Pelodiscus sinensis: one gene and its partners. The protein of the gene in region 1 interacts with the protein of each later gene in a pairwise test. Links are inferred from orthologs where the notes say so. Each region holds a gene or a part of one and is shown on either strand. Other genes may lie near its edges. The genes, in order: CKM, TRIM63 and ASB9.

Evidence for each region.
Region 2: the proteins of CKM (region 1) and TRIM63 interact in a two-hybrid assay, tested with the Homo sapiens proteins (2 studies listed by BioGRID). The link is inferred for Pelodiscus sinensis from reciprocal best matches to the Homo sapiens genes CKM and TRIM63.
Region 3: the proteins of CKM (region 1) and ASB9 interact in binary tests that used the Homo sapiens proteins (3 or more experiments, as listed by UniProt). The two-hybrid records come from large-scale screens. The link is inferred for Pelodiscus sinensis from reciprocal best matches to the Homo sapiens genes CKM and ASB9.

The regions. Positions count from the first base shown.
Region 1 is NW_027465849.1:7,057,638-7,065,115, reverse strand, and holds the start of CKM (creatine kinase M-type), read left to right. Parts: upstream 1-4,451; 5' UTR 4,452-4,494; coding exon 4,495-4,611; intron 4,612-5,811; coding exon 5,812-6,025; intron 6,026-6,605; coding exon 6,606-6,760; intron 6,761-7,478. UniProt on the Homo sapiens protein: Reversibly catalyzes the transfer of phosphate between ATP and various phosphogens (e.g. creatine phosphate).
Region 2 is NC_134735.1:1,664,457-1,671,672, forward strand, and holds the start of TRIM63 (E3 ubiquitin-protein ligase TRIM63), read right to left. Parts: upstream 3,096-7,216; 5' UTR 2,936-3,095; coding exon 2,777-2,935; intron 898-2,776; coding exon 731-897; intron 1-730. UniProt on the Homo sapiens protein: E3 ubiquitin ligase. Mediates the ubiquitination and subsequent proteasomal degradation of CKM, GMEB1 and HIBADH.
Region 3 is NC_134711.1:211,962,187-211,969,974, reverse strand, and holds the start of ASB9 (ankyrin repeat and SOCS box protein 9), read right to left. Parts: upstream 3,096-7,788; 5' UTR 2,791-3,095; coding exon 2,697-2,790; intron 1-2,696. UniProt on the Homo sapiens protein: Substrate-recognition component of a cullin-5-RING E3 ubiquitin-protein ligase complex (ECS complex, also named CRL5 complex), which mediates the ubiquitination and subsequent proteasomal degradation of target proteins.

The DNA of each region.
Region 1 (7,478 bases):
ACTGGGGGACATCACCTGCTCCTGCAGCCCTGGCATCACCCAGCAGGGGGCTGTGTGAGTGCGGGGAGGGGCCAAGGGTGGGGGATGGGTGTGTGAGTGTGGGGCGGGGCCAAGGGTGGGGGATGGGCTGTGTGAGTGTGGGGAGGGGCCAAGGGTGGGGGATGGGCTGTGTGAGTGCGGGGAGGGGCCAAGGGCGGGGGAGGGGCTGTGTGAGTGCGGGGAGGGGCCAAGGGCGGGGGAGGGGCTGTGTGAGTGCGGGGAGGGGCTAAGGGCGGGGGAGGGGCTGTGTGAGTGCGGGGAGGGGCTGTGTGAGTGCGGGGAGGGGCTAAGGGCGGGGGAGGGGCTGTGTGAGCCATGTCGCAGAGGTGGGGGGGCAGCCGGGGGCTGGGCTGCACCAGGGCAGGGGTGGTCCCCTAAGCTGGCGGCATCCCCCTGGGGTCTCCCTGCCGCGGGCTGGCATGTCGCACCCCCCGCTGGGGGGTCTCCGCCCAGCCCTGCCCCGCCCCCCAGGGCGCTATAAATAGCCGCCCCGGCGCCCGGCTCCAGTTCCCATGAGCCAGCGGATCCGACAGAGGTGACACCGCGGGACGCTTCCTCTACCCAGCAGGAGGGCCCGGCCCCCCCCAGCCCAGCGCCCCCCTGAGCCTCCCCCCCGCCACCCAGCGCCCCCTGCTGGGCCCTGCCCCACCCCTCCCCCCGCAGCCCAGCGCCACCCTGAGCCCCCGCCACCCGCAACCCAATGCCCCCTGCTGGGCCCTGCCCCCCCCCCCCGCAGCCCAGCGCCACCCTGAGCCTCCCCCCCCCCGCCACCCGCAACCCAATGCCCCCTGCTGGGCCCTGCCCCCCCCCCCGCAGCCCAGCGCCCCCCTGAGCCTCCCCCCCCCCGCCACCCGCAACCCAATGCCCCCTGCTGGTCCCTGCCGCACCTCCTCCCACAACCCAGCGCCCCCTCTGCTGGGTCCTGCCCCCCCCCGCAGCCCAGCGCCCCCCTGAGCCTCCTCCCCCCCGCCACCCGCAACCCAATGCCCCCTGCTGGTCCCTGCCGCACCTCCTCCCACAACCCAGCGCCCCCTCTGCTGGGTCCTGCCCCCCCCCGCAGCCCAGCGCCCCCCTGAGTCTCCCCCCCCCTAGCCCCCCCCCCCGAGCTGCCCCGTCCCCCGCCCCCTGCTGGGCCCTGCCCCACCCCTGCTGCAGCCCAGCACCTCCTTCAGCCTCCCTGTCTCCCGCCCCCCCATATCTCAGCCCTGCCCCCCCAGCCGCCCCGTCCCCTGCCTCCCGCAACCCAGCGCCCCCTGCTGGGCCCTGCCCCGCCCCCCCCAGCCCAGCCCCCCCCCAGAGCCTTCCCGTCCCCCACCCCCCACAGCCCAGCGCCCATTGCTGGGCCCTGCCCAGTCGAGATGTGCTCAGGGGAGGAGGGGATGCTGCCACCCGCCGGGGAGTGGGGGCGACCCAGGTCCGGTCGACAGAAGGGGTCTGAGCGGGGGCCTTGCTGCCGCCCGGCGCGGGGACGCTCGGGGGGCTCCTCAGCCGCCCCTGCTGGACTGATCCCCGGCTGGGCCCTTCTGCTCTGGCCCGTTCACCCAGCGGCATCAGCAGAGCCCGAAGGACCCCCCCCCCCCCCGGCCTTTCTCCGCTCCAGCCCGCGGGCGATTGGCTCCGGGTCTCCCCCGCCCGGCTGAGGGCACCGCAGTGCCCAGCACGGGACAGGGCCCCCCTCCGTCCTGTGGGAACCGCCTACATCTGCCCGAGGCCGGGGCTGGTGTCTGGGCCCCCCCCCAAGGGCATCCTCTCCCCAGCCTCCGACAGGGCCCCGGGACCTGGCTGCAGCCGCATGAGTCCCAGGCTCTCAGCAGACTCCGGCAGCCCCCACGGCCTTGGATCCAGGCTGCCCCCTAAGGGCGCCTGGCGGGGTGGGCGGGAGCCGGATCTCCAGGGCTTTGCCAGGAACCCGCAGCACCAATTTCAGGGGAGGTGCCCCCTGACCCCAGCAATGGTGGGGGGAGGAGGTGGCAATTGCCTGCCCTTGGGCCGCCCAACCCCAGGGAGGGATCCACTCGAGCCTGGCGCCCGTTTCTCCGGGGGCGTCTCCGCGGTGGCCGTGCTCGGGCGCCGGCCCCTTCACTGGCCTCTGGAACAGCTGTCAGGGGCTCCCAGGTTCGGGACTACGGCCCCCGCTTTGGAGCAGCCTCTGGAAGGAACCCCAGGGGTCCCACGCCTCCTCCAGGGCCGGCCGTGCGGCCTCCCCACCTCCGAGCCTGAACCGCTTCCCTCCTGCCGCCCCCCGTGAGCGGTGTCTGGGGGGGCAGACTGGGAGAGGCGCGGCCCCCGGAGGGCGCCTGGCAGGCGGGTGAATTGGCCCTGGTGCCCAGCCTGGGATGGCCCCAGGTTTGTGCCGAGCCTCGGGGGGTTAAAGCGGCCCAGGCCCAGCCAAGCTGGAGGGACCCCAAATCCAGGCTCTGTGTGTCCGTCTGGCCATCCAGAGCCAGCTCTTCCCCCGCCCAGCCCCCTTTGGCTGGCGAGTGTGGGGGGCTCTGCACACTCCCTGCCGGGTGTGTCCATGAAGGGGTCACTGGGGCTGACCTTGGCTTGCTGGGTCCTAGGTCTCTTCAGCCCCCCTCTCTGGGAAGTGACACCCCTTCCCACCTGTGTTTCTTAGGGGGGTCCAGAAAGCAAACCTCACCCTCCCCACGGGGTAGCCATGCAACATAAAGGGGGAAACTGAGGCACGCATCAGCCACCTAAAATAATGCAAAACATTCTCACGTCGGCCCAGTATCCTGCAGCAGGGCGTTCCCCAGGTTGGTGGCCGCTTGGCTCTCTTGAGCGCCTTTGACTTTAACTGACGCCGCCCCAACGAGACAGGGGGCATCCCCACCCCCATGCAGTCCCGGGCTGCAGCACATGAACGTGGCTTGGAGGTCTAGGCTGGGCCCAGGCCCTCGCCGAGTGGGAGCGGCGGGAGGAAGGGACGTGCTGCCGGAACAAATCCCCCCCCACACCCACCCAAAGCCGCTCCCCCCTCCCCGGACCGGGCCCTGGGCACTAGCTGGGTTCCCCGTTGCTGTCCCGGCAGCCCCCCTCGGGGCAGCAGGGGGTGTCCAGCCATGGGCCATGCCTCAGGTCCGAGGGGAGGGGACAGGCGCGCCCCGGCCCTGCCCCCCCACTCGCCCAGCCTTGGGGCACGCTCCCATAAATCAGCGCAGGGACAGCTGCTGCATGCACGCCCGGCTCCTCTCCCCGTTAGGAAGGCGTCGGGGGCCGGGAAACCCGAGCCAGGCCGTTTTGGGCGCGGGGTGGCGTGCGGGCAGCTGCCAGGCGGTGCTGGGCCCGGGCCAGCTGCAGAGCAAGCGGAGGGTTGGCATTGCTGCCTATATAAAGAGCTAGGCTGCCTGGGCGGCCATGGGCGGGGACCATGTGCTGACAAGCCCAGCTCAGCTGCCCAGGCCCCGGCTCCAAGCTGGCTGCACGGCCGGGGGAGGGGGCAGGTTGGAGGTGCAGGAAGAAAGGATGGGGGGAGTCACGTGGGTCCCCAGGGTCTGGTCCCCGTGGCCTTGGAATGGATGGGAAGGTGGTGCAGCCTGGGGCCTGCCTCGCCAGGGTCATGGGGCCAGCCTGGGACCCAGGGAGCGTTCCATGGGGGGTCCCCCGCCGAGTCCCGACCCAGCCCAGCCAGGGAGAGCAGGGAAAACCTGTGGAACTCCCTGCCGGGGGATGTTGTGAAGGGCCCCAGTGTAACTGGGTTCAGAACAGAATGAGCCCAGGATGGGCAGGGATGTAACCCCTTGTTCTGGGTCGCCCTCAACCAGGACCTTGCACGCCAGCTCAGAGCGGGCCCGGGAATGGTTCTGGCCCTAGTGAAGATGGGCCCAGCTGGTCATGGCCCAGGGGAGCGGTGGGATGGACCCAGGAGGTGGATGCCTGGGGAGGGGTGGGATGGACCCAGCCAGCCATGACCCGGGGGTGGGGAGATGGACCCAGCTGGTTAAGGCCCATGGGGTGGGACGGACACAGCCGGTCGTGGCCTGGAGGGATGGGACAGACCCAGAAGGTTGTGGCCTGGGGGGGTGGGATGGACCCAGATGGTCGTGGGCAGGGGGGTGGGTCGGGCTCAGATGGTCGTGGCCCGGGGGGGTGGGACGGACCCAGCCGGTCGTGGCCTGGGGGGAGATGGTCGTGGGCAGGGGGGTGGATCGGGCTCAGATGGTCGTGGCCCAGGGGGGTGGGACGGACCCAGCCGGTCGTGGCCCGGGGGGGTGGGACGGACCCGGCCTGTCGTGATCCCCCCCAGGGACGGACCCCGGCGGGTCACGCAGCGGCAGGTGGAATTTCTCCCCGTGCTGTTTGTCTGTTTTGCTGGTCACCGGGATACAGCCGGGCCCAGATCCTGCGCCCGCCGGGCCCCCAGCCAGGCCAGCTGGAGGACAGCCCCAAATTTTGTGCTGGGCTGGTGGCAGCCGTGTCCAATCGGGGCCGGCCGGCGGCCCGGGCCAGCCAATGGGAGCCGTGCGCAGGGTATATATATGGGCAGCTCCCCTGCTGGGGTCCCGGGTCACTTGTCACGTCCGAGTAGAGGAGGCAGTGCCGTGCCGTCCCCGCTGTTCTGCTGATCCGGTAACCCCGGCACGGGGAGCCCGGGGGGGGGAACGGGGCAGGGGCTGCGCCTGACCTTGGGCTGGGGGCAGCGGGGAGCCCCGCGGGGCCAGGGCAGGGCGGAGTGGGGGAGGGCCCTGTGGGTGCAGCCTGCATGGGGCGCCCAAGGGCAATGCCCCATCAGCTTCCTGGCGGGTTGGGGGGGCATGGGGCCCCCATGAAGGTCGGGAGGCCGCAGAGCAGGAGGCTGGTGATTGGGGCGGGCCCCGGGATGATGCTGGGTCCTCGCTGGCCCGTTGCACCCTGGCGGCCTCTCTGGGTCCCTGGGGGAAGACGGGGGGTGCCCAGGGTGGGGCCCCTGCGGCCGGGGAGCCCCCGAAGCCTTGAGCAGAGCCCAGCGCCCCCCGAGAGGGCCCCCGTGGCTGCAGGCGGCTGGCTCCTCGCAAACGCAGCCCCGGGAATGTGGGCTCAGCTGGCAGCTGCCGCTGCTCCCGCCAGGTGCCTGCCCCCCGGGACAAGGGCAGGGGCTTAAAATAGCCCTCCTAGAGCAGCTGAAAACCGGCCCAACTTTCCACCCGCAGCAACTAGATACCTCCCCCCACCCCCCGGCACCTGCCCTGCCCCGCTGCCCCATGGGCACCCCCCACCAGCAGCTGCCCCCCAGTCTGGCCCAGCAGAGTCATCCCCTCGCACGGGGTTCTGCCCAAACCTTTCACTGCCCCCCACTCACCTGGGGAGAGCGCCCCCTGCTGGCCCAAGGGCCTGGTGGGGTCCGACCTCCCGGTTCCTGCCCTGAGCTCCCCGCAGGGAGTCCCCCACCCCGCAGCCAGCAGGGAACCTGGCATAGAGCAGCGCCCCTCAGCCCACGGCTCCTGGCAGAGGCTGGGCCCACCTGCCCACCAGGGGTCTCTGAAACAACCATGCCCCCTGCTCCTCACACGCCGGGGAAACTGAGGCACGCCCGGTGTTCTGACCAACGGTTACGAACAACCCCCCCTTGTCACATGGGCTCACCCCGCCTCCCCTGGAGACTTTAGGCGGTCCCGTGGCTGGCGCAGCCCACGTGGGATGCCTGGGACGCCCCTCTCGGTTTGGGGGCTGCGCTGTCGTGGGGCTCGGGCGGGTGCGAGGAGCCCCCCGGGCGTGGCGGAGCAGGGGAGGGGGCGGCCTGGTCCCAGCTGGCGCCTGCCCCCCGGCCTCAGCGAGCCCCGTGCCCCGCAGGACTCGCCCCTGCCCGCAGCCATGCCGTTCGGGAACACCCACAACAAGTACAAGCTGAACTTCTCGGCGGAGGAGGAGTTCCCCGACCTGAGCAAGCACAACAACCACATGGCCAAGGCCCTGACCCTGGACATCTACAAGAAGCTGCGTGACAAGGAGACGCCCAGCGGCTTCACCCTGGACGACGTCATCCAGACCGGGGTGGACAACCCAGGTGGGCGCTGGACGGACCCCCCCCCCCGCTCCCCCACCCAGCGTCCCCCCCCCCCCGGGAACCCCACCCCCTTGGGTCTCGTGCTGCTTTGGAACTCGGCTTGGGGCCCCCTCCTGCCACCTGAGCCCTGGGGGCCTCCCCAACCTGCCCACCGTGGCCCAGCCAGAATGGGGGGCCCTGGGCCAGGAGCTGCCTGTCACTGCGGGGCTGGGGCCTTGCGGACACCTGCCCTTTTGTCCTTGGCCCCCAGGGTAGGGGCGCTATGGGGAGCCCCCCCCCGGCGCATCCAGCATCCTGGGAACCCCTCCCCCCAGTCACTGATAGCTGGGCTCCAGCCTGTGGCCAAGGGAGAATTGCCCCCCCACCCCGTGTCCCTGGGACCCCCCACAACCGCTGGCAAAGGGGCAAGAGGCCTGGCAGGGCGAGGGGGCCTGGGGAAGCCGGGCTGAACCCTTCCTGCCACCCCCCACTGGTGGGGAACGGGCCCCACGGGAGCCTGGCTGCCCCCTCCCAAGGAGCAGCAAGGGGGGGCCCCGGGGCCCCTCGCCAGCTGCCCAGGCTGACACCCGGCTGCCCGCAGGACACCCCTTCATCATGACGGTGGGCTGCGTGGCCGGGGACGAGGAGACCTACGAGGTCTTCAAGGACCTGCTGGACCCCGTCATCCAGGACCGGCACGGCGGCTACAAGCCCACCGACTCCCACAAGACCGACCTCAACCACGAGAACCTGAAGGTGCGGGCGGGGGGGGCGGGGGGCAGGGAGGAGAGGAGTGGGAGGGGGGACTGGAGCAGGGGAGAGGGGCTGAGGGGCTTGGGGGGCTGTGGTGGGAGGGGAGCTGGAGGGGACTGGGGGGCTGTGGTGGGAGGGGGGCTGGAGGGGATTGGGGGGCTGTGGTGGGAGGGGAGCTGGAGGGGACTGGGGGGCTGTGGTGGGAGGGGAGCTGGAGGGGATTGGGGGGCTGTGGTGGGAGGGGAGCTGGAGGGGACTGGGGGGCTGTGGTGGGAGGAGGGCCTGCAGTGGGGACTGGGGGGCTGTGGTGGGAGGGGAGCTGGAGGGGACTGGGGGGCTGTGGTGGGAGGGGGGCCTGCAGTGGGGACTGGGGGGTTGTGGTGGGAGGGGGGCTGGAGGGGACTGGGGGGCTGTGGTGGGAGGGGAGCTGGAGGGGATTGGGGGGCTGTGGTGGGAGGGGAGCTGGAGGGGATTGGGGGGCTGTGGTAGGAGGGGGGCTGGAGGGGATTGGGGGGCTGTGATGGGAGCTGGAGGGGACTGGGGGGCTGTGGTGGGAGGGGGGCCTGCAGTGGGGACTGGGGGGCTGTGGTGGGAGGGGAGCTGGAGGGGTTTGGGGGGCTGTGGCGGGAGGGGGGCTGGAGAGGATTGGGGGGCTGTGGTGGGAGGGGGGCTGGAGAGGATTGGGGGGCTGTGGTGGGAGGGGAGTTGGAGGGGACTGGGG
Region 2 (7,216 bases), on another chromosome or scaffold:
TCAACAGATTTCTTCCACACGTGGATAGAAAAAATCTGCACTTGGATGGAAAAGATTAGAGGGAACCTTGGGAACAGCTACTGTGTTCGCTCCCTCCTCCCTGCAACATGACTCTCAAAGCCGCGGCCGTGCTGCTCTGGGCACAGTTTGTTTTTATCAGTCGGGAAGTTAAAATGTGTGGAACGAAGGAACCGTGCAACCAATAAAATATGTCAGTGGTCACATGGTTACAGGTGGGGCAAAAGTGGACTCCCTGGGAGCCGGTGCACCCCGGAGCTGGCTTTTAACCCAGCTCTCCATGCACCGGGAGACTGCAGGTAACTGTGACCATTAACCCATGAGCCCAGGGTCAGTTCCCCGTTTGCAACAGGCTGGGGAGGGGGATGGGACATGTTACTGATTCTAGGCACGTGAGAGTGGAACCGTGTAGACCAGCTGCTGCTCTTATCGCGCCTTCGGAACTCCACTTGGGAGATGGTATTTGCTGATTCTGCAGACCTCCCCGGCCCCCCCCTTTCAAAGCCTGGTACCATATTTGCCCCATAGAGCACCTGTCTCTGCCTCCATGCCAGCGATTCAGGAAATTCATCGGTTAACTCCTTTCAGACCTCGGAATCCAGATCTGCACCTGCTGCTGTGTGAACACTCCCTGCCTCCTATTCCCCTGCCTGCCTGTTGTCCGCACCCGGGAACTGGCGGGGCTGCTGGCGCGGGCGGGCGCGGGGCTCACCTGGAGCACTCCTGCTTGTAGATGTCGATGATGTTCTCCACCAGCAGGTTCCGCTGCAGCCCGTAGACGCCGTGCCGGTCCAGGATCACCTCGTGGCGGCAGGAGGGGCACCGGAAGCGCCCCCCAGAGAGGGTGGTTCCCCGGCTCTGCCAGTACGGATTCGCCGCCTGTGAGTGCCGGCAGCACAAGGGCAAAGGTCACCCCAGTCACCTGCCACAGGCCCAAAACTATGGACGGGTGGAGGCCCAGCTGGGGAAGGCAAGTCCCAGCCCCGCCCCTTCCCCACACCCCTGTGGAGCCGAGCCCCGCCCACCCCCAGCTCCATCCTTCCTGGCCACCTGGAGGGCTGGGGCTGCTGCGCCATGGCCCCACCTTTCCCCAGCAGCTGTGGGGTGGCGGCAGACGGCGACGCCTTCCCTTGCCTACAGTACCCGCCGCCCACGCCTAACGCTCACCACTGCGCAGTCGAGACAGTCACGTGGACTCGTGTGAACCCCGCCCCTCGGCATCCCCCAGGGACAGAGCCTGCATCCCAGCCCCGCCCATCGCCCGCGGGGCGCAGATCCCATAATGCTTTGCACCCGGTGAGCGAGGAATTACGGCTCACAAAACCCCAGGAAGGAGGCAAATGTCTCCCGGGCACAGCTGGGCGCCCGAGGCAAAGCAAAACCCCTGAGGCAATGTGGCCAAGGGGCAGATCTGGGAATGGAGCCAGGAGTCCTGAGTCGCAGCCCCCTGCCGCAGCCACCCCCTCCTGCTCCTGAGCTGGGCACAGGGCATGGGGGTGCTGAGAGGCGTCCGTCGTTCACGGGTTAGAAACGCCTCCGAGCGCGCGGGCTCCGGGAGTGTACAACGGGCTCGGAAGGGACCAGACCTCCAGGGCCTGGCCCAGGGCCCACGGCCCCACCGCTCCACCACTTCTGGGGCAGCCAAGAAACGTCGCCCAGTTAGAATTTCCCTCTTGCCCAGCGGGCGCCTGCAGCATTGACCCTGCACTGCCGGGGGGGTCTAGGGGGGAGATTAGGAAAAGCGACTTCCCCAGGCGGGTGGGGGACGCTGGGCTGGGTTCCCTAGGGAGGGGCTGGCGTCTCCATTCTTGGCGATGGGGAGATTTCATTGGGATGGGTCCTGCTTTGGGCAGGGGGCTGGACTCGGTGCCTCCTGAGGGCTCCGCCCGCCCCAGGGCTCCGTGATCCTATGAGAAGTGGCCAAGCACACGGGGCGGGGGGATGGAGAAGCCGACTTTTTGGCAAAATTCCCAGGGAGGAATCTGAGCTGCAGGGACCTCGACATTCTGCCCATTGCCAGGAGTCAAGGGGGTCTGCACATGGGGGAAGTGCCAGGAACCCACGGTCAATTACACCCCCGCCGGCACAGCCTGCAGCCGGCCCTGCAGCGGGTCCCATCGCTCCCTTCCTGCCTGGTCTTCTCCTCCTTCCTCTATTGCTGGGAACGCTGGACGTGAGCAGCACAGCTCAGCGAGAGGGGGCCCAGCCATCGGGTTTATCAGCTGGCTCCTAGCCCGGCTCAGCCAAGAGAGGAGACCAGGGGGATGGGTCCTTTCTAGAACCAGGTGCCAAGCCGGCTCATTCCCAGGCCGTTGAAGTCACGGGGATTTTTTCACCAGCGTCCTAGATAAACGCAGAGCGAGACGCTGCCCCCTCCGCTCTGACAGACAAGCACAGCCTGGAAGGGCACAAGCTAGAGCACTTGGAGCCAGAATCTTGGAAAGCCGACAGGCGGGATTGAACCTGCGACCTTCGGGGCTAAAGCCACAACACTCTATGGCATGATCTGAAAACCCACCAGCTCCCAGCTGCGGCCTGGAGCGAACTTTCCTTGTCAGTGGCCTCTGGGTTACACAAGCCCGGAGTCTACCCCGCCCTGCCCGGCTCCTGACAGGGGAGCGCCCAGGGAAGCCTGGCCCTTCCAGCCCTCAGCCACCCCGCGAGCAGCCTCCGGTTCGGTCCCCGGGAGCTCACGGCAGCCTCCCCCCCGCCTGCAGCCAGGCACAGGAAGTGGCCCAGCCACGGGCCAGGCACTCACCTGGAAGACGTCGCTGGCGCACTTCCGACACAGGTTGTGCTGGCAGGGCAGGATGACCACGGGCTTGTTGAACATCTCCAGGCAGATGGGGCAGATCAGCTGCTTCTCCAGGTTCTCCATGGGGCTGGGGTCTCGGATGATGCTGGGCTGGTAATCCATGGCGCTGGGCGGCCTCCCCAGGTATATCCCAACGCCGGTGTCGACAGCTCCTCAGGGAACTCTCCCGGCTCCGCCTGCCTTCTTCAGCTGCACCAAGTTCTGAGCTCAAGCTTCTGGCTCCTTCCCTGCGGCTCAGCCTGGGCTCCTGCCTTTGCCCCTCTCCCTGCCTATTTATAATTTAGGGCAGAGTCACATGTGCTGGAGAGGGGCTCGAGTTTCCAGCGGCCTGCCTGTCACATGGGAGAATGAGCAATCGGTGCCCCTGGGGGGAGCGGGCTGTAAACAGGGCAGGGGACGGCCTGTCCGGGGCTGGCCCAGCCACAGTTCCTGGGATTTTGCAGTGTCTTTCCAAACAAAGACACTGGAGACGCAGCTGTAAACAGAGTCATCCCCCTTGTGACCCCCACCCGGCCTCCGCGTCCCTATCGCAAAGGGTTAAGTGACCCCCTTAAGAACATCAGAGCGGCCAGGCGGGGTCAGAGCAAAGGCCCATCCAGCCCAGTGGCCTGTCTGCCCACAGCGGCCAGTGCCAGATCCCCCAGAGGGAGGGAACACAACAGGGAATCCTCATGTGATCCCTCCCGTCACCCATGTCCAGACAAACAGAGGCTGGCGACACCATCCCTGCCCAGCCTGGCGAACAGCCATTGATGGACCTAACTTCCAGGAATCTAGCTAGCTCTTTTCTGAACCCTGTTAAAGTCCTAGTCTTCACCACATCCTCTGGCGAGGAGTTCCACGGGTTGACTGTGCACTGAGTGACGAAAACCTTCCTTTTGTTTGTTTTAAACCTGCTGCCTGCTAATTTCATGTGGTGACCCCTAGTTCTTATATTGTGGGAAAAAGTCAATAACTTTTCCTTATTCACTTTTTCCACACCCGTCATGATTTTATAGACCTCTGTCCTATCCCCCCTTAGTCTCCTCTTTTGTAAGCAGAAAAGTCCCCGACTTTTTAATCTCTCTTCAGATGGGACCCGTTCCAAACCCCTGATCACTTTTGCTGCCCTTTCCTGACCCCTTTCCAATGCCAAGAGATCTTTTTTGAGATGAGGCGACCGCGTCTGTACACGGTATTCAAGCTGTGGGTGCACCATGGTTTTATAGAGGCAACGAGATATTCTCTGTCTTACGCTCTGTCCCTTTGCTAATGACTCCTAACGTCCCGTTTGCCTTTGTGACGGCTGCTGCACTGCGGGGATGTTTTCAGAGAACGACCCACTGGGACTCCAAGATCTCTCGAGTGGTTGGAGCTAAATTAGCCCCCACCGTATTGTCCATGCAGCTGGGATTGGTTGCTCCAGCACCCGCCCTGTTCAGCCTCGGCCCGAGGTCCCTGCTGGGCATCACAGATTTCCACCCAAGCCCCACAACTCCCCCAGACTCTGCTGGCTGCTCCTCAGACCGTCACAGCCCCCAGCCCGGCCATGGGTCCTGCAGGTAGCACCAGACACCCCCAGTGCCAGGGGTGGGGAGCCGCCCGAGGGCACCTCCCAGGCCTGGGACTCGGGGATCCTCCATTGTGTTAAAATCATCGAACCCCAGAGTCGTAGGATGGGAAGGGACCTCGAGCCTCTCGGCAGGGCCAGGCACCGTCTGAGCATCCCGGGCAGGCGCGTGTCCAGTGAGGGACCCTCCACCACCCCCCAGGGTTTAACCCTCCTCGTGCCCGTGAACCTGGCCGGCCCTTCCCCCTGCGGTCAATGCGACACGTCCCCGCCCAGGGCTCATCCCCGTTGTGCAGCACAGGAGCTGCCGGGCCAGGCGCGTGCTCAGGGAGGGCCTCTCCCCCACGCCCAGGGGCTGCTGCAGGGAAAGAGGCCTGGGGGAGTCCACTCTCTCCCTGCAGCTGCCGCCCTAGGGCAGCCTGACCCCCACACCCTTCACCCCGGCCCCAGCCAGAGCCCTGCCGCCCTCCAAACCACTCGGCCCCACCCCCGACACATGGATTTTGTTATGTGCCCCGCTATGGCGGTGACCCCGTCCCAGGCCCAGCCAAGCAGCCAGGCCATCGGGGGCTCGGCCGCCTGCACAGCCACGAGCAGGCCGTCCGCCCCGCGGGCCAGCAATGCCCCTCGGCATGGGCAGTGGGTGAGCGTAGGGCGGGCCGAGGAAAGTCCCCAGCCTGCCCCTAGCCCCGCCCCTTCTGCCCAGGCCCCGCCCCCACGGGAGCCAAATTGCCTCCCCCCTCAGGCAGCATGTGGCCCCCGCAGCAGGTAGGCCTGCGGAGTGTGGGCGGGGCCAGGCTGCCTTCCCCACCTGGCATGCCGGCCACACCCGCCATTCTCCACGCAGCAGCCGGAACGGGCACAAGCCAGGCACCAGGCTGGGTCACATGCAAACTGCAGGAGGCTTCGGGCTCCCTGGATGCTCAGTAACAGCGTTGGAAGAAGCCAGACATCAGCAAAACGACCCCCCAGCCAGACCCCAGCGCGAAAGCGCCGCGTGGGAGTCGCTCGCGAACTCTCCCCGTCGGACCGGGAGGGGCTGCTTCGGCGTCCCCGCCTTCTCATCAGCTGGGGGACCGGGCCTCGTTAGCACGGGCCCTCCGCAAAGTAACGGATCGCTCCCCTCCGGGCAGGCGCAGGTAGCCCTGCCAGACCGACGGGTCCATCCCACGCTTGGGGCCCAGAACCTTTCCGGTGCCCCGGGACTCCTCGGAGCAGGAGACGCTCACACATCACCTCCACATTGACACACCTAACAGAGTCCATCCCGCACGCGCATGGGAACCATTCGAAGGAACCTGATGGGAACCCCTATTAACGGCAGCCGTACAGCTCCTCCGAGCTCTCCCGGCTCCCCAGTGCGGTACCCCCGGATCAACGGCCACCCCTACGAGCATGCTCACGCAGTCCTCAGTCAGGTTCTCTCGGTGTACAGAACAGACGCAACCTTGTGACGTAGTGGGGGGGTGTCTGCTCTGCAACCCGGGGTCCCCTTGCGCTGTGCGATTCCCACGGACTCACCCACACGTGGATTGGCCCAGACACCTAGTCCCAGCCTGGGCAGGTAACAGGGCTCTTCCCAGGGGGAGAGACAACGGGAGGGAGGCGGAGACAGTCACCGGGCTGGGGGGCAGGGCTGGGAGGGAGGCAGTTCCTGGGAAGGGAACAGACTAAGCTGGGTGCAGAGGGTTGGGGGGCGATGGACCCCCTAACCCGAGGGGGCTGAGGCAGCCTGGCCCTGACTCCTGTAGCCACATCCCGTCTGTGCTGGGCTGTACCCCGGAGAAGCAAGAAACCCCCCTGTTCTACTGGCTGCAGAGTCTGTTCTTGCTGCTGCGGGGGTGCAGGCTCAGGGGGGACCCCGACGCGCCGTCACTCCCCTCGGCAGGCCTAGGGTCCTATTTTCGACACCCGGGGGTGTGCGTACAGGGTGTCAGCCGCTCTCTCGTCCCGGCATCCGCAAGGTGCCTGGGTAGCGCCGCCGTCCGCGCCCTCTGGGTAAATAGCGGCAGCTCTGCCCGTGCCGCTCAGGGACTCCCAGGAACCCCTGACAAGGGCAGGCGGGCGGCTGGGCCTGTCCCCAGCTCCTTAGCAGAAGGGCTCGTGCGCGGCAGGTGATTCACTCCCGCTCGGGAGTGAAAACCATCCGGTCTGCTCCCCCCGCCGGGAGAACAAGCCAGGCCAGCTGCCGGGGGCCCCCAGCCCCAGGAATCCAAACGTCCCCGGGGCAGGGGCCCCACGGTCAAAACAGACCAGCTGGAATTGGGACTGGCGGCTCGTGGGCCAGGAATAGCCACGGGCAGGTAGAAAACCGCCTGCTCCTGCTGGCTCACTGCCCAGGTACCTGCCTCCTCGCGCACTCCCCACGTGGCCCAGCGCTGCTGGAATGGGACCCGACGCGCGTGTCTGCTCCGCGGGACGGTGGCCAGCTGTGGAAGCCCCCCTGGAACCTGCTCACGGCCCCCCAGGGAGCCTGCTGGAGAAACACTGGCCTGGAGCCGCAGGGCTAGCAGCCCAGCCACGCCAGGGCACAGTCAGCACCGGGACGCCTCTCGCTGGTGCAGTGGCCCTGCTGGCTGTCATGGCGAGCCGTGTGCTGGCCGGCACTGCCGGGAACCCAGCCAGTCGTTAGCTCCTGCTGCAGGGCCCTGCACGGAGCTGCAAGAATAAATCCCTGTGGCTGCGGGCCACGGCTTCAGCATGCAGGGCCACGGCTTTGGAATACAGGGCCACGGCTTCAGCACGCAGGGCCACGGCTTTGGAATACAGGGTCACAGCTTTGGAATACAGGGTCACGGCTTCAGCACACAGGGCCACGGCTTTGGAATACAGGG
Region 3 (7,788 bases), on another chromosome or scaffold:
GAAAGATGGAGCAATTCTAATGGCACCTTGATTGTTATCCCAAGTGAAGAGTTCAGAGCAGGTTTAGGCCAGAATGAAATACCTTTACTGGTACCTGCTACAGCATGTTGACAGACAGGTCTGGACTAACTTCTGAAGGTGGAATGAAGCCTTTATAAGAAGGGTTATCATCACAGATGGACAAACTAGTAGGCCAGTGATTTCATAGAGCCCAACATTTCTTTTATCTTCTATGGTGTCTCAGAAGAAGGCACAATGAAACCAGCACTGTAGAGGAAAGAAAGAAAGACTGGGAAGCAGACAATGATCACTAATTCAAAGGGGCAGAAAAACTCACCCCTCTCTTTGAAAAATAAAATAAAATTTCAAAAAAGATTACTCAGATCTGTAAAATGTAGAGGAGTCAAAGGGCCAAGTGGGAGGCATGGCCTGCCTTAAATGCATCCTTACTGGTAGTAGTCAGTGCATGGAGTACAGACCTTCATGAAGTAAGTCTTTTTGTGTAACCTATTTTGTGGTATTTCTTTAGAAAATTAGATTTTAAAAAAATGTTAGTTTTGTAGCATTTCACTTCTTTTCGCAAGCAAGGTGGCAAAGTTCCATCGGCTGCACTGAAACTACAGCAACATACTGTGTCCCTAAAGATCTATCCCCAGAGGGATAGAGCAACAGTGAGCCCACGCCATATTATATTGTTTGGTGAAGGCTATTGTGCTATTCATAACTACCAGTATATGGATTTTGCTTTAAAAGCAATTTGAGTAGAATATTGTTTATTAAATCACATTCATCCATGAACAATGTGGGGTAGTTTTACAGACTGAAAAATGGGATCATCTAAAGAATAAGGAAACAATCAAGTTGTTACAGTAATGTGGATAGCTGCCTCTGCTTCTTTGCGGTACATGTTCAGGTGTACTGATAGGGAAAATGTAGGACTAGGTTATGTTCTACTTGCCCTGTTTTCTACTCAGTACTGTAGATGTAGTAGCAGCTGTGCAGTAAATTATTAATATTTTGTGGATTTGCAACATAGACCCTAATTATTGAGATAAACACAGCCGATAGCCAATGCTAACCAACCACTGAGTTTTTTTAATTCCAGATGTTGGCTTCAATCAATATTTAAACTCCATTCTGCACATGAATAGTAACTGCAAGGGAGGTGAGCCTGCTTACGCCAGTAGCGAATTCGGAGAAGCAAACATATTTTTAAAAATTCCCTCACCAGAACTGCCTAGTGTGCTTGTAACATTTTGAAATCTACCCAAGAACTTTAACCATAGGCACTGACCAAAATAAAATAGTAGGTGCTAAGCACTTACTGACTACTGGCCCCACCCCCAGCCCCTGCTCCTGCCCTGGCCCCCAGCACCTCCTATCCACGGTGTGCCCTGCTGGTCAGCAGAAGGCAGGTCTGGGGCTTGAACACTCTCAGGCAAATCAGAAAGTTGGTGCCTCTGCCTTTAGTCCATAGATATTATAAATAGGAACTGAAATCTTCTGTAGTAGTCTAAAGCTGAGATATTCAAAGGGACCTAAAAGTTAGGAGTCAAACTCCCACTGACTTTCAGGGTGAGTTGGGTGTCTAATTTCTTAAGTTCATTGAAAAAAATCCTGTCCACATATTATTTTGAATCCTTAAATTAGTGGCACCAATCTTTGCCTCACAATAGGCTTTTTTATGTTACCATAGTGCCTGTGAGCCTAGTCATGTACCTGGTTCTCATTGTGCAGGCTCTGTACAAACACAGCCTTTCCTCCTTCCTTCCAAATGCTGGAAACCTGTCGGCCATTTAGTAAGAATCCACTTCAAATCCAGACTCATTCTGGATTGTTATCACTGTTCTGCCCTCCTCCCTCACAAAAAAAAACCCAAAACCCAAATCAACCTAGAGAGCAAGACACCAAGGTCACTTCTGCGCTGCAGCTGGCCTTGTAGTTCTCATATCCTAACTGCACCAGTCTTTTTTCTTTATGTAACAAAGGAAAAATCTCCAGAGTTCTCATGAAGAAAAGAAGAATATTGCAATGTTACAGCATGTTGTCTTCATTTTTCCTCCCCCAGCACACTGGCCATAAACTGAAAGCTTAGACTCCCCAAGGACATGGACTGAAGTGAAACACCACTAACCAAGCTGTATGTGAAAAGAGATTGTCTTGTGACACTGCATCAGATTGTTCACATGCTTGGGAGCAAACTGAGATTCTTACTCAAAGGGGTGAGCAAAAAGGGGGCAAATTGGATGCAGAACTGCTCCTCGGTGACAGAAAGGGGTTCGCACCCTGGCCTGCTGGGACTAAGCCACAAATGTGGCAATGTCACCAGCAAAGATTTTTGTAGCGTATCTTTCGAAACAAAAGAGGAACTTGTTCCGCTGAGCAAGCAGTGAGCATTCAGCTGGCAATAATGCAAACCAAACATGCCCACAGTGCAATTTCTTTTGCAGTTATGTCCAGGTCAGATTGTAATGCTTATTTTTCTTTACACAGATTCCTAATATCTGTGAAGTGTTTAAAAATAAATTTTGGTTTTACTGCCATGTACCCCGATGTCTACCTAAGAACTGCATGTAAACAAGCCTTCAGGGAGAATATGCCTCCAGAGCTCTGAATAGATATCATCCATAGCCCTTCCATGACCACCAGAAGGCTCTCGGGAAGACCGTTTGGATAGATACAGTTGTATTACTTACCGCTCATCAGTGCATTTGACGGAGAAGTTGCAAGTGACTGTCCTTCCACTCCCTGGGATATACTGGCATTTTCCTTTGCTCCAGCACCATCCATTGCACACTGGGCAGTCAAATTTCTGTTATTTCACTTCACAGTTGCTCCTGAGAGTTCAAATTCCATCCTCCCTGATGAAAATCTTAGTTATGCAAGTAATCTATTAAGCAAACACCGTGTGTGTGAGACAAGCCGACTTCTCAGCAGACTGGAACTTGGTGCCGGCAGCAGTTTCAAATAACTTGAGTACCTGTGTGCACTGCCGATTTAATGAAACGCCTCCTCATTCACTTGGTGTACAGAGATCAGACAGGCTACACTGTACAAAGTGAGGGATGTGGCTGATGTCATATCCTTTCAAAAGCCACGTCCAATCAGCAAGTCTGCCTTCTGTTTTTATCAGGAAGGAACTTCTCAGTTTTTGCCAACAAACCAAGAGAGAGCCAGCTCAACTAGTTGAGCAAATTCTGCTTTTAGGGATTTGTAAAAGTATCTCAGGAAGATAACTGTGCTCAATGCTTTGCTTTCAAGAGAAGGATCAAATTAGGTTGTTTTGAGACAACACCTTTTTCCTGTATCTAGTGTGCCTCCAGTTTTCAAACACTGACATTATCTGAAAAGCTCATGACTGCATGCAAAGAATGGAATACTGAATTCCTTTTACACAGCAGCAGTCACTACATGCCATGATAATATTGAAACCACATGTTCCCAAAGCTGTGCTTTCCCATGGAAGTGCTTCATTGTCTCTAAGGCATGAAAAGCATAGTATTATGTGGCCTTATTTCCCTACATCCATTTCAATCAACTTCACTGAGTCATCATAGTTGCACCACCACTATATATCAGAGGTGGGGAACCTTTTTGGGGGGGGTCAGGGGCTGCTGAACCACAGAAATATCAGTCCGGGGCCACACGCAAGTGAGAGGCAAAGTGAGAAGCCCCTGACTGAGAAGGAAAAAGACACTCCTCACATCCCTCTCACACACCAGAGCCAAAAGGGGACCAGGCTAGTAGATTTTGTGTGCTCCAGCCCTGTGGGTGGGTGGCAGAGGGCTGGATCTGCTTTTTCACTAGAAACAAAAATAATTAACCTACAGACAAGTAAACAGGGTGAGATTTTCCAAAAGGCTTCCAGCCTAGGATTCTGTGTAGCATGGCAGTGAAGACAAGCCCTATCATCCACCTGGCACCTGCTCTTCACCACCAAATCAGAATATAAACAAAGATGAATTCCCACAAACACAAGCCTTTATCATCTCCTTCCATCCCCCAAAGCCTGAGTAAAGAATTTGCTCTTACAACATGCCCTAAGGTCAGGGCTATTTTGGACTGTAGGTGAGGGGTTAAGAAGCAAGACGGTTCCAAAGCTGAGGAAGGTGGTGTAACATGGCCACTACTCTAGCCCATGCACTGGAAAAACAACTGCCCCTGCATGAAGTACTAATCACTAGCCCCAGCTTTCCCCTGGCTGTCCACAGCATGGGGGAGTGAGGCTAGGGCAGCGCACTGCTCCTGCATTCTGCTGTCCAGCTGGAGCACACTTACTTGGGGGACCATGGGGGAGTGCTTTCGCACCGTTCGCACCTCCCCCCCTCCCACATATGGGCCTGACTAGAATCACACAGCTGCCTTTCCCATGAAGCCTGCTTCTCTCCCTCGTTCTGGTGCCTCATACATAGGGCAGCACTGATATCTCTGCAGTGCACAGGGAGTGATGCTATTTCCCAGCACAACCATTCTGTCAGGCAGCGCTTTGGGGGAACCGAAGACCTTTGGCTCAAGCCATTGGTTAATTTTGAATAATCTGTGGCCTACCCAAAGACATCATTCTACCAAAGACAGACGATGCCATTTTCAAACAAGCAAAGAATCCTCACTCCTCCACGTTGCTAAAGGGCAATGTCTAACAATTAACTAATTATTAATCATATTTGTTGCTAGTACACAAATGTACACCGACCATTTGTCCCAAATTTTCCGGGATAGTCCCGAATTGAAATATTCTGTCTCAGTACCCCATCAAGTAGTGAAATGTCCCGGAAATCTCTGCCGGATATTTCATTACTTGATGGGGACACCAGCTTGCAGGGAAGAAACAACTGAGAAATGGCTCTGTGCACTGCCATTGCTCCTTGCACGGCACGGCACGGCACAGCACAACAGCGGCCTCCTCCCCACCAGCAGAGCACATAGGTGGCTCCATTGGAGCTTTGCCGGTGGGTATAATTATGTAAATAACGGTAAGTTTCCATTAGCAACCGACGATCCACGGAAAGGTTTACATTAAGCCAGGTGGTTCATAGGCCAAAAAGTTTGAGAACCCCTGAAATAGAGGCATCCCCAGCCTCTTCCACCGAGTTAATGCAATGCAAGTTGGGTTAATGCAATTGCAGCATAGTTGCATGGAAGGGGTCCTATGAGGTCCAAACCCCTCCCTATTGGTAGAGGATGGTGGGTGGAGTTCTTAGAGGGGTCACACAACACCCTTTACTGCAGGTCATGTGTCCATCTTGACCCAGGAGTACTACCTCCAGGTGTGGGACTTATGGCAGGCAGGCGTGGCTAATGGAGAATAGGGGGTATTGCTATTGGAAGTCGAGGCATGGCTAATAGGGATCAGAGGGCATTGCTAATGTGAGTCAGGGGGCACAGCTAATGTGTCCTTAATTTTGATTGAGAAAATATGGTCACCATTCCTTAATGCCATCAAAGGATGGGACTCCATATTGCTAGACACTGTACAAACACAGATACAAGCACAAATTATGTTCTTTTTATGTGGTTTGTACTGAATATCTTAACATATACCAAGAAGCAGGAATGCAGTTTTGCAGCCCTTACTCACTTCAGTAGTTCAAAAATATCACAGAGCCCTAAAAGTTTTCTTGTTTCTTGCTGCTGCTGGGTCCCTGGATCCCCTAACACAGATTCTAATCATATCCTGTGAGTGTTTTCTATCCCACATCCTCAGCCTGCATGGTGTCTCAGCATTATCTCTTTTCAGTACCCGATGTTTGCAAACTGCATGCATTCCCCTCTAAAAGATGGCTTTGTTTGCATAAGTCTCACTTCACAGCAATTTTCTCTATCAAGTACATTAGCAAAGCTGATACAGAAAATTATGTACAAACATAAGAGGTTTAGTTTTACAGCATTAAATACTGTAGCCTGAGTTTGGAAGTTGAGGGACCGTGGATAGAAAAATTAAACAAACAATTTAGATTAATTAAGATTATACAACTAAAGGCAAACAAAAACGTTTCTTTGCTGGTACACTGCCTGTTTCCTTTTTCTTCACTCTTGACATCCTCTCACTCCAACAGCTATGAGTGAGCAGCAAATTGGAGAGTGGATTACCAAAGGTCACCACAGTAAAGTGTGTGCCTATCATCTGGGCAGTATTAAAGCAGTATTGGGGACTAGGGGCAATCCGTGGTAGTTATATTTGATGAATAATACAGAGCTGAGACCAGCTGAAGGAAAAGAAACCACAACTGCAGAACTAACTGGGGGTTTTTTTCCCCTCCAAGAGGTAACATAAGACTAATATAAATCAAGGGTTAGGCAATACAGTAGCATTCACACAAAGGATATATCTATAATGTAACTGGGTAGACATACCCACACTGTCTCTATCTGCCATGTGACACTCTACCCCCATATTTTTAAGGAAATATGGTTTTGAACATGAATATAAACATGAACATGACTATGAATATACATATGAGAATATTCAAGTAATCCCCTGAATGTGTATATTTTATTTGTGTGCCTGTATCTTTCTCGATTATGAAGTTAGAAAAATGGACTGTACATTTGTTTATTAAACGAGGTCTTCTAGGCTGTGGCTACACTGAACCCCTCTGTTGGCAGAGGGATGCAAATAAAACACTTTGAAAGTGCAAATTAAGTGGGGATTTAAATATCCCATGCTTCATTTGCATAATTCTGTCTTGGCGCTGTTTCAATCAAGCACCATTTCAAAACTGAAACCATGGTTTAACCACAGTTCTGCCAACAGCGGGGTGATTTTTCGACAGATCCTGTACTCCTAGCTTTTTGGTGCTTAAGGAACTTAATGGCCTTGTGCTCAAGGCAATGAATAGTTTTGTTTTTCCTAGAAGCCTGGATTGTGGTTGGTCCTACAAAGACATCTGACCATGTCACCTAGTGCTGGAATCCATCTTCAATTTTGTACTTTCCCAGTCAGGGGAGACATGAATAAAGAGTTCCTGCCCTGGGACAATTCTATTTGAGGGATGGGAAGCAAAGTATGATTGTCTTCAGCTGGCTTCACAGGCTGCTCCCCATCACAAGAAGAGACCTGAATGAGAATGGGAGGAGAAAGAAGCAGCTGGGTTTAGGTGAGAAAAAAGATCAGCTCTGACCTGAAACATTTTACATGAAATAAGGACTGGGGTGAGAAATTATGATTTGTAACAATTTCTCTTAGTATAGTAGATTTAACTGGCATGTTTTGTTGATTTTAGGTTAGCATGGGCGCATAGCATCATAGGTGATCAATCAGCCCTGCCCAGTCAGTCAATCAGCAGGTGTGATTAATCACTTGTGAAGTTGTGCTGCCCTGCAGCTTAGAGGAAACACTGGTTTGGGTCCTATTTGATGCTGTGCTCCTGGATGCTGTCAAATCCCTGTAACTGAGCCCTCTTCAGAGCTGAGCTGCTCTCAGTGTCTGTGTCACTCTGTTGGGGGAGGGCTGTTGCCCCATGTGACAGGGCGCTTGCCCTGCACTGGCCCTTTAAGGTCAAACCCCAGCCCGGAGCAAGGGTTGAGAGTAAGGCCCCAGCTGAGGCAGGCCTCATTAATTAGGGCCCAGCTGGGGCCTATAAAAGGAAGGATGCCTGGAGGGAGAAGGAAGTCAAACTGCTGCTCTGGGAGGAGAGCAGGGAGGGCCTAGTTGCTAGAGGAGCAGGAGGATCCCCGGAGTGAAAGCAGCGCTGGGGAAGCAAGGCGGGGCAAGGAGAGTTCGGGTCCAATACGCTCCACGGCTGCCAGGCCTGAAACACGGCCTGTGGAGTAACAACTTTTCACAGA